2 linked regions of the Sus scrofa genome follow. The protein of the gene in region 1 purifies or fractionates together with the protein of each later gene. This does not show direct contact. Links are inferred from orthologs where the notes say so. Each region holds a gene or a part of one and is shown on either strand. Other genes may lie near its edges.

What was found. Proteins that work in one complex are often made in the same cells at the same time.
Region 2: the proteins of LIMK2 (region 1) and CDC37 purify together in Homo sapiens (affinity purification with mass spectrometry; 3 studies listed by BioGRID and IntAct, with this or other methods). This does not show direct contact. The link is inferred for Sus scrofa from reciprocal best matches to the Homo sapiens genes LIMK2 and CDC37.

The regions. Positions count from the first base shown.
Region 1 is NC_010456.5:48,028,092-48,032,807, forward strand, and holds part of LIMK2 (LIM domain kinase 2), read left to right. Parts: intron 1-1,107; coding exon 1,108-1,239; intron 1,240-1,476; coding exon 1,477-1,533; intron 1,534-3,680; coding exon 3,681-3,746; exon of another isoform or gene 3,747-4,716. UniProt on the Homo sapiens protein: Serine/threonine-protein kinase that plays an essential role in the regulation of actin filament dynamics. Acts downstream of several Rho family GTPase signal transduction pathways.
Region 2 is NC_010444.4:69,209,547-69,215,060, reverse strand, and holds the start of CDC37 (hsp90 co-chaperone Cdc37), read left to right. Parts: upstream 1-2,151; 5' UTR 2,152-2,245; coding exon 2,246-2,347; intron 2,348-5,514. UniProt on the Homo sapiens protein: Co-chaperone that binds to numerous kinases and promotes their interaction with the Hsp90 complex, resulting in stabilization and promotion of their activity. Inhibits HSP90AA1 ATPase activity.

The DNA of each region.
Region 1 (4,716 bases):
TGATTTCAAGAGGAAAGTTAGGGAGTTCCCATTGTGGCTCAGTGGGTTAAGAACCCGATTAGCATTCATGAGGATGTGGGTTCAATTCCTGGCCCTGCTCTGTGGGTTAAGGATCTGGCATTGCCAAAAGCTGCAGCATAGGACACAGATGTGACTCAGATCTGGTATTGCTGTGGTTGTGGTGTAGGCCAGCAGCTGCAGCCTTGATTCATCCCCTAGCCTGGGAACTTCCTTATGCCCCAGGTGCAGCCCTAAAAAGGTAAAAAAAAAAAAAAAGAAAAGAAAGAAAGAAAGAAAAAAACATGAAAACTTAGTTTGAAGTCACATTTTTAAGGCTGAGCAGAAAAGATCACTATAGGAACATGCCTGCCCCCGTAAATTACAGTGTAATTATTTGTGTAACAAATACTAAAAAAAAAAAAAAAAAAGGAGTTCCTGTCGTGGCGCAGTGGTTAACAAATCCAACTAGGAACCATGAGGTTGCGGGTTCGGTTCAGTCCCTGCCCTTGTTCAGTGGGTTAACGATCTGGCATTGCCGTGAGCTGTGGTGTAGGTTGCAGATGCGGCTCGGATCCCACGTTGCTGTGACTGTGGCGTAGGCTGGCAGCTACAGTGCTGATTGGACCCCTGCCTGGGAACCTCCATATGCCACGGGAGCGGCCCAAGAAATAGCAAAAAGACAAAAAGAAAAAGAAAAAAACAAATACTAAAGACAGCAGGAGCTGGGTACAGGAAGAAGTGGTTCAGAGGAGCTCAGGAGTGTGGGATGATAAATGTGAAAACACCCTTGTACCACAACTCAATGCTATGACTAACTGAGCTCCCTGCTGAGGGAGCCTGGTGCCCTTGAGGGTCCGTATGGTTTTCACTCCCTCTCTCAGTTGCTCCATTGGGTGCTGCCCCCAGGCGTGTTTCACTCATGGGTCCCCTACTTCACAGGATCCCAGATGTAGCTCCTAGAAAGGCAGGATCCCAAGGGTGAGGCCTGGGAGCCCACCCTAGCACATGATAGGAGGTGTGAGACATGGTGGCATATGTCCATCTGACCCCCTGGAGGGAAGAGGTGAGAAGTAAACCACCCACCCTCCTTGGCCTCCCCTCTCACAGGTGAAGGTGATGCGCAGCCTGGACCACCCCAACGTGCTCAAGTTCATCGGTGTGCTGTACAAGGACAAGAAGCTGAACCTGCTGACTGAGTACATCGAGGGGGGCACACTGAAGGACTTTCTGCGCAGCGTGGTGAGCGCTGCACCCCCAAAGTCCTGGACCCTGGGTTGGCTGTCAGTGGGACATCTGTGTCACCACTATCCTGGAGCCATGATGGCCAGGGGCCCACTGCTTTGCATACAAAGGGGCATGCTGGGCGGGGCTGGGCACCAGCAGTGAGGGTTTCCTGGCAGATCATGGTGACCACGGGGCCTGGACCACAAGTGCGATGGCCCAGCAGCCTCTTATGGGCATTCCCCCATCCTGCAGGACCCGTTCCCCTGGCAGCAGAAGGTCAGATTTGCCAAAGGCATCGCCTCTGGAATGGTGAGTCCTGCCAACAAGCCTGGGAGCAGAGCAGGGTATTGGGAGTCAGGGTCAGGAAAGGGGCAGGGATTGCAGGCAGGTACTCCGTCCTGGATAACTTGCATGTGCCAGGCCATTTAGCAGCTATTCACTGAGCTTCTCTCTTTGCCAGTGAAATTGTCCCCAGTTGGCTCTTCCCAGCTCACAACCCTACTCTCAAAGAATTCCATATCTTCTAGGGCACACAGAGGTAGGCAAGGCAAAGTAGAGAAGCAGACTAGCACAGGTGGCTGGGCCCTGCTGTCACAGGGGCATCCAGGGCTCTTGGAGCAAGCAGAGAACATCACCGCCTAGGAAATCAGAGAAGGGGAATTGTCTCCTAGTCAAACCCTGAAGGGATGGGTCAGAACCAGATAAAAGTTCCTCTTGGCAGAGAGGCCCCAAAGCTGGGGTGATGTCAGCAGCCAGGACCTGGGAGGAGAGAGGAGGAAATAGACTGTTTGACCTGGGAAAGCATGATGCCAGTCACAGCGATGGGAATGGTGACAGTTGCTGAGTGCCTTCTCAGGCCAGGCACCAAGCTGAGGGACTAGTACTCAAGATAGCCCTGGTTCCAGATGAGAAGCTGAGGCCAGACAGGGTGGAGCTAGGTGGGCTAGTCAGTCTGACCCCCAGGCCTGATATTTTAATCCCTGCTCATCATGTAGGGTCCATGAAGACTGGGTACATTAAGATCCTTGTGTTTTGGAGTTCCCATTGTAGCTCAGCAGGTTAAGAACCTGACTAGTATCCATGGGATGTAGGTTCAATCCCTGGCCTTGCTTAGTGCATTAAGGACCTGGTGCTGCTGTGAGCTGCAGCATAGGTCACAGATGCAGCTTGCATCCAGTGTTGCTGTGGCTGTGCTTGTGGTTGGCAGCTGCAGCTCCAATTCAACCCCTAACCTGAAAACTTTCATGTGCTGCAGGTGCACCCTAAAAAGCAAAAAAAAAAAAAAAAAAGATCCTTGTATTTTAGGCTAAGGAGTCTGCACTTTATTTAGGAACCCCAAAAGACAAATGTAAAAGATTTTTGAGCAAGAAAGTTGGTAGAGTTGAGAGAACTCAGGGCAGGGGGTCGATGAGGCATTTCAGGTTCCTAAATTACTGTACATCCATGGGGCCAGGAGACCAGGACGCAAGTTCAAGTCTGAATGGACACTGGTTGGCAGTGAGGGAACAGGGATATGGGGTTGGGGGAAACTGGGGAGTCTTGAAGTGCCTAGAAGAATGGTGGTGGCGTCTACCAGAAAGAGGGGGAGGTTGGCAGTGATGGTCCGGAAACAGGTTTGAGAAGAGCTGGGATAGGTGTCTGCCGAGGCTGCAATGGGGTGGTTAGTGGGGGTCAGCCGTGAAGAGAAGGTGGCTTTGAGAAGGGCTGACACTAGGGAGGCTGGAAGGAGAAGGAGGTCAGCCCAGGAGAGGTGTGGGCAGCCTCCGGGTAGGGAACGACATGCAGGCCCGGAAGAGCAACTCCAGGAGCCCAGGAGGTGGAAGCAGTGCTGCAGGGCTGGGGAGGGGCGGTGGCTGGGGAAGGAAAAGGGACAAAGTGGCTCCAGTGTGACAAGAGCCAGAAGTGGAGGCCTGGAGCTGGGGAACAGCAAATAAACACTTGGGTAAGAAGGGGAGAGGCTGAAGTGTCGACAGAGAGTGAGGAGGGTGCTGAGTTCCTGGGGAGAGGGCTGTCAGGAGCACAGAGCCTGCTGGTCCACGGGCAGGTCATTTCCTCTTCCACAGCAGAATCCAGGGCTGCTGAAGCCAAGACTGGGGTGAGGCTAAGGGGTGTGAAGGGGTCAGGAGCAGTGCACCCAGGTAGCCTGAGTCTAAGTGAAGTGGGTCGAGGGGATGAGGGCACACAAGGGCCAGGGCCCAATGGAGTTGGAGACTTCAGGACAGAGCAGCTACTGAGTTGGGACAGGAGATGGCAGTAGAGAGAGAGGAAGCCCAGGCAGCCTTTGGCTTTCTGTTGGCCCTAGGACACGGGCGTGACAGCGGGAGGACTCTGGAGTCCAAGTTAGGTTCTGAAGCTGGGTAGTGACAGCCTGGGAGGAGAGTGGGTTCTGTGGCCTGCAGAAGTCAGCATCTGATTGACTTACTGGCTGTTGACCTCAGCTTGTGCTTCTGTTTCAGGCCTATTTACATTCCATGTGCATCATCCACCGGGACCTGAACTCACACAACTGCCTCATCAAGCTGGTATGTCCCACCACTCTGGGCCACTTCCCTGTCACTAGGGAAGCTAACTGTCCCCTCCTGCCTTTTTTTTTTTTTTTTTTTCCCCGCACCCACAACATACGGGAGTTCCAGGCTAGGGGTCCAATCAGAGGTATAGTTGCTACAGCCATAGCAACACCAGATCTGAGCCACATCTTCAACCTACACTACAGCTCACAGCAACGCCAGATCCTTAACCCACTGAGCGAGGCCAGGATACCAGTTGGGTAGCGCATGGATACTAGTTGGGTTCGTTACCACTGAGCCACAATGGGAACTCCTCCTGTCCTGCTCTAGACCAGAAGTATGGCCAGGGCTCCTTCTTGCCCTTCTTGCTGCCTCCCATGCCCTCCTCTGTCTTCTGGGGGCCCCCCTGACACATACAGTAAAGTCTGCTTCCTCCCAAAGGCAGCCTTTGAAATCCTTCAGTCACAAGGGACTTCAGAAGTTCCTTAGCTGTATGTTGTCCCTTTTCCTGGTCTTCCCCTGCGGTAGTAAAAGCCACTGAGGACTCCGATTACAGCTGTGACACCTGAATCCTCAAGGCCACAGAGCTAATAAATTTCCAGTCACTTCCTCCTACTGGCCAGTCAGTCCTGGCTATTATAAGTTACTCCTCCTGTTGCCTTACAGTGCGGCTTCCTGGGTGTCCACTCACTGGCCCTGACTGTGCCCTCTGGACTCACACCAAACAATCTTAATCCCTTTTCCACATGACTGCCTTGTAGCTATTTGAAGAGCTTATCTCCCCCACATCCCCCCACTGAATGCCTCCACCTCATCTTTCCCTGTCTTATCCTGGTTCTAGCCATGGCCTTAAATCTTTCTGGGAACAAGGCAGGATGAGAAAAAATCAAAACAAAAGAAATCCTCTGTCCTGCCTCCAAGTTCCTCCTTCCAGGTCCCAGAGCCTTACCCGTCCCAGCTCCAGGGCCTCTGCTGTGCACCCCTG
Region 2 (5,514 bases), on another chromosome or scaffold:
TGGCCACAGTACCCCGGCACACAGTAGGCACTTGCCAAATATGTGTTAAATGAACTGTGAAATAAATGATGGAGTAACAGCAGACTCGCATGCGTGACCTCCCCAAATCCTAGGTGTGTCATCACCCAGATGAGGAAATCAAGGCTCAGGAAGGCAAAGCTGACTACCCAGTCCTACCACCACAGCTAAGCATTGTCTGGCTGTGGGATGCAGCAGAGAAAGCTTGGGTAGCTTAGAGGAGCATTCCCAGTCCCCCACCCCCATCACACAGGTGTAAGACATACAGCCAGGGAAGCACTGATGTGGGGAGGGCGGTTGGGAGACCCGGGGACGGTGCAAAGCAACTCGGGGATCTCTGTCTCAGTTCCCAGGACTAGAGATGCTGTGTTGGCAGGAGGTTAGGAAACGCTTGGCACTGTTGGGGGAGCTTCCGGCGCCCTGTCCCCAGTTCTGGGAGCTGAGTCTCCTGGGATCCTGTTTCGCTGGGGCCAGGAAGTTCCAGTATCCGCAGCCAGGTAGAGACCCCCGTGTATACCCGGAATCCCCGACATCCGGGGTTCTCCCCACACACCTTCAGCCCAGAAGCCGGCCTGAAGCCCTCAGAGGGCGTACAGGGGGGACTTTGATTTTAATGGGGGGTACCTGACTTTTCTGGGGGACAGGAAAACTCCCTCCGTCTTAGCCCCCTCCCTCTTGGGCGCCAGGTTCCCCTCCCCACCGCAGCTTTTAGCCCAAATCTTACCTTGCAGGGGGACTGGGGAGGGGATGCCCCGCCCTCTCCGGCCTGGGGGGCGGGAGGGGACAGGGGTGTCCAGACCCTTTGTTGTTTGCTGGTGTGTGTGTGTGTGTGTGTGTGTGTGTGTGTGTGCGCGCGCGCGCACGCGCGATTGTCAGACCTGAGGTGTGGGTCCGTGCGCGCGCGAGCCCAGGCCGTGACGGCTGCTGAGATGCTGGACTGCCGGGGCTGGAGAGGGAGGAGGAGGAGAGGGGGACTCCCCCGCCCCCGCCCGCCTCCTTGCCGGTTTGAATGAAGCGTGAGGGGGAGGGGAGGCAGCGGGCAGGAGCTTTGTCAGGACGTGTCCCCTCCCCTTCCCCCGACTGGGGAATCCCCTCCCATCCCCCCTGCGCCCCCATTTAGAGACCTTTACTCCTTTCTCTCCAGCCTTTTCCCTCCAAACGCCCACTCTGGGGGAGTCTGGAAGAGGCGCCCTTCACGCAAGTGGTTGAAGCTTCTCCCATCCCCCACGCCATCGGAGCATCCTTTAATCTGAGATAATCCCGGCCCTAGGCTGCAACGCGGCCTTTTATCCTGGTATCAAAGCGTGGGTAGGGATATATGAAAGTGTGTGGCTGGGGTCGCTCAAGCTCAATGTAAGAGTCCTTAGAGCCCAGGACCAGAAAAGGGGCCCCAGACGAAAGGGGAAGGCCTGCTAGCGGTCCTAGAGCACTACCACCGGGAAAGATTCCCCACTTGGTGTGAGGCCAGAAGCACTGGCCGCTAGTTAGACATTGGTGCCACCCAGCGGCCGCACGGGGAGACGCTGTGGATCGGCTCCCGAGACTAGTTAAATGAAGTCTGGGTGATTCCGAAGGGGGGCGCGCGAATCCCCGTTCAGGAGTGGCAGAAGCGAGGAGGAGGCTGTGGTTCGAGCCGGGGAAACACCAGGCCCCAAGGCAGAGCCACAGCACTCCCATCACCTCCAACCCCTCAAGGGCAGGGCCATATCCTTCCTTCACTTAGACCCTCCCAGGACAGGGTCCTGTACCCCTCGGACTGGGAAGGTCCTTCCATATCAGACAACCTCCCCAACACAGCTAAATCCCCCTTCACAAGGAACCCAGCAGTGGGCTAGGGCTGACGTCACTGCAGCGTGGCTAAGAGGACAATCCTCTCCCTCAGGCTCGCCAACTGCTCACTTACGGCCGCCGTAAAGGCCCACTATGCGGCGGCAGGAGATTAGCGGGGCTCGAGGTTGGAGAACCCACTCATATACCCCCCAGGAAGTGCCCGAAGCAGGATGGGATGAGGTTTGAGGGAGAATCCCAGGAGTTGGGACACGTGCGCAGGGCTCTTTAAGAACTCGGTCGCCAGGGCCGCTGCCAGGGTTACTAAGGATGTGACGTCACGTGCGGGCGGGGGCGTGCGCGCCCAGACGGAAGCGGAAGGGGCGGGGCTCGGCGGTCCGAGTCTCCGTGCTGCCGCTACCGCCGCCAGAGTCGGAGCTGGCTGGGCCGCCAAGGCAAGATGGTGGACTACAGCGTGTGGGATCACATCGAGGTGTCTGACGATGAAGACGAGACGCACCCCAATATCGACACTGCCAGCCTCTTCCGCTGGAGGCACCAGGTAGAGCGCGCGCGGCCAGCCCCTTCCCCCACTCCCGGGTCTCTGCTTCAGAGTTCTGACTTCAGATACTGCTAGGAACCCGGCCATGGACACCTGAGATTCCCACCCTACAGTCTGGACTTTCAGTAGCGCCCAGGGTTCTTCGATTCAACTCCGGGATCCCAGAACTTCCGGGACCCTTGAGTCCCTTGCCTGCTATCCGAGCCTCCCCCTGCCGATTTCTTCTTGGAACTCCCAGTTCACCCCTAGGGCACCTTCTTCAGAGTTTAACTACCAAGACAAGCTTTGGGCTTCCCCCCCAGTTCCGTTTGGGACCTTCCATTTACGCTCCGAATCTTACCTCAGAATCTTGACCCTGATCCTATTCAAGTACCCCCTTGTGATCTTGGACATCCCATGGGCCCCTCCCAATCCCTAGAGTTCCCAGTACTTTAAGTTGTAAGTCTGTTCTTCGATCGGCCTTTCTGGGTCCCAGTGGTGATTCCCGTTTAGATCCAGAAATCCTCTAAATACAACAAGGAATTCTGTCCTTCCTTGAGATTTCTGTTCCTGGCGTGGGACTCCAGCCCACACCCAGGACCCCTTTCCTGGAACTTAAACCAGTGCCCATCAGTATCCTTAGTCCCATCTAGGACTGGCATTTTGAAACCTAGTTCCCTTTCAGATTGAACCACCAGCTCTACCCTTGATGGAGCTTCCAATTCCGGCCACTCTCCTTCAGCCTCACATACTGTAGACCCAGTTTCCCATTATGTCAGGAAATCCTACCCACGTGGCTTCCCCCCAGCTAGAGCCCCTGCCCCTGCTTGGTACTGCAGACCCAGTCACCAAACTCTCCCCCCCACCCAAGACAGGCTTCCTGTAGGAGTCAGCTTTGGAAAGCCTCATTCAAATGCAAGTCCAGGACCCAAACCCACCCCTTCTTCCTTCTGACCCTAGCATGGACTGCTGATCTCAGACACCCAGAGTGACCCTGCTTTTACCAGAAACCCTCCCAGTCTGATTCCAGATTCATTGCCCTACTTTTACTTATTCCCCAAATCCAGACTCCAGGATCCCAAAGTCTGTTCTCTTGCCCTTCTCCCACCCAGCAGTGTTCACAGGCCAGCAAAATAGCCCTCCTAAGATGTAATGTTCTAGCCTCCTGCTCCCCAAAATCAGAGCTCCGGCACCCACATTCCTGTGCCTATGAGACTTTGAAACTCAGGGCATATACCTCTCAGAACCTTCCAGTTAGGAATTCCTCACCCCATTTTTCCGTGTATCAGCTCCCAGTCCTTTTTCTAGAAACTCCTAGAAGGGCTCTTCCCCTTCCTGCCAAGACACAGCATGAGTCCCTACATCTGCTACCCAGTGCTAGTTCCAACCCATTCCTTAAAGCAGCAGTCTCCTGGGTAGTGTCCCTGCTGGGCAAGCCGCTGGAGTGTAAGAAGAAAGTTCTAGCACTTCTCTCTTTCTTGCCATGTGTAACATTTTATCATGAAATATTTAAGATCTCTGCAAAGCTCTGAAGACTATCCTCAGGAACATGGATTACTGTCACATAGTCAATCTATGCCACTGTGTGGTGGATGTTCTGGTCCTGCTGGGCGGCAGGCTAGTGCCCCCTCTCCTACCTCGTCTTCCTCTCACCACGCCCTTCTCCCTCCTGGCCAAAACTCTTTCCTGGCCTGCTACTGAGAGTTCCTGGGCAGCGGTGGAGAGGGTCGGAGGTAGAGAGCCTGGTGTCTCCAGCAGCACCAAGTTCAGTGGCAGGCAAGCCTAGGTTCTTATCCCAGCCCTGCCACAGGACACTGGTGCTTTACTCTAGGGGGAGCAAGACCCCCACCTCCACGAGTCAATCATAGGAAGTGAGTAAGCATTCCAGAGGGAAAGAGGGGATTCTAGAACAAATAGCCTGGAGTGCTTCTGAGCGCAGGCCTGCCCACCTGGGTTCAGATCCTGGCTCCTTCAGAATCACAGACTTACTGCCTGGCAAGTTGTTTTTTCTTTTTCTTTTCTTTTTTTTTTTTCATTTTTGGCCACCCCATGGCATGTGACGTTCCCAGGCCAGAGATCAGATTTGAGTCGCAGTCGTGACCAAAGCTGCAGCTGTGGCACTGGCAGATCCTTGACCCACTGTGCCAGGTCGGGGATTGAACCAGAGTCACAGTGCTCCCAAGATGCCACCTGTCTCGTGCCACAGTGGGAGCCCTCCCAGTGAGTTTGGATTGCTCTGTGCCTTCATTTCCCCAGCAGGGAATCTTCACAGTATCTACCCCATAGGGTTGTTGTGAGGATCACCTTTTGTATTTAATGTGTGTTAACACTCTCAGGACAGCACACGGATGGAATAAGTTCTGTGGAGACTTTAGTTTTTGTCATCGTTTAGGTCATTCACACTCATGGTAAAAAAAAAAAGAACCTCAAGATTCCAGAGGGGACAGGTGAGTCCTCCCAGCTCCAGCTCCCTGCCTCCCTGGCTCCCTTGCCCAGAGACAAATAAGTACTGGTTTCTTGTGGCCCCTTCCAGTGAGCTTATGTGGCATCAAGGTTCTGGGAGCCTCGGTTCCCTTATGTATAAGGCAAGGTGTCAGTGACACCTGTGGCCCCTTCTCACTGCTGGGGCTTCTGCCCTGCCCAGCTGGGTACAGCCCCTCCTAGAGCTGTAAAGCCCATGCCAGGCAGGCTGCCACCCTCACCGCTCCAGGAGTCCTTTATTTAGCTTGGGCCTCCTGGCAGCTGCTCAGAGGATGCCGAGATTTCGATGGCTACCCAGCAGAAACCAGCAGCGTGGTACGTTCCTGCTGTCACCTGAGGCCAACCATAGAGAGCCCCTCATATTGTAGCGGGAAGGCTCCAGGGCGACGCAGGCCCATCATGGAGCAAGAGAGGTGACAGAAGATGCAAGGCATTCCCTGCAAAGCAAGGGCTTTCTCCCATCTTCATCCACATGGGAAAAGCGAGGCTTGTGATTGGCTGGGTTGTTCCTGTGGAGCAATAGAGAAGGGCTCAGGTCTCCCAACTCTCACCCAGCATGGGCCCGGCCCTGTGCTAGGACCTAGAGATCCAACCTCGAATAAAGTACAGAAGCAAGTTAGCAGACCATCCTTGTGGCCTTGGCCGTGACAATGGTGTTAACAGTGGGACGTGTATACTGAGTGCTGTGTTGCAAGTGGTTTCCTTGA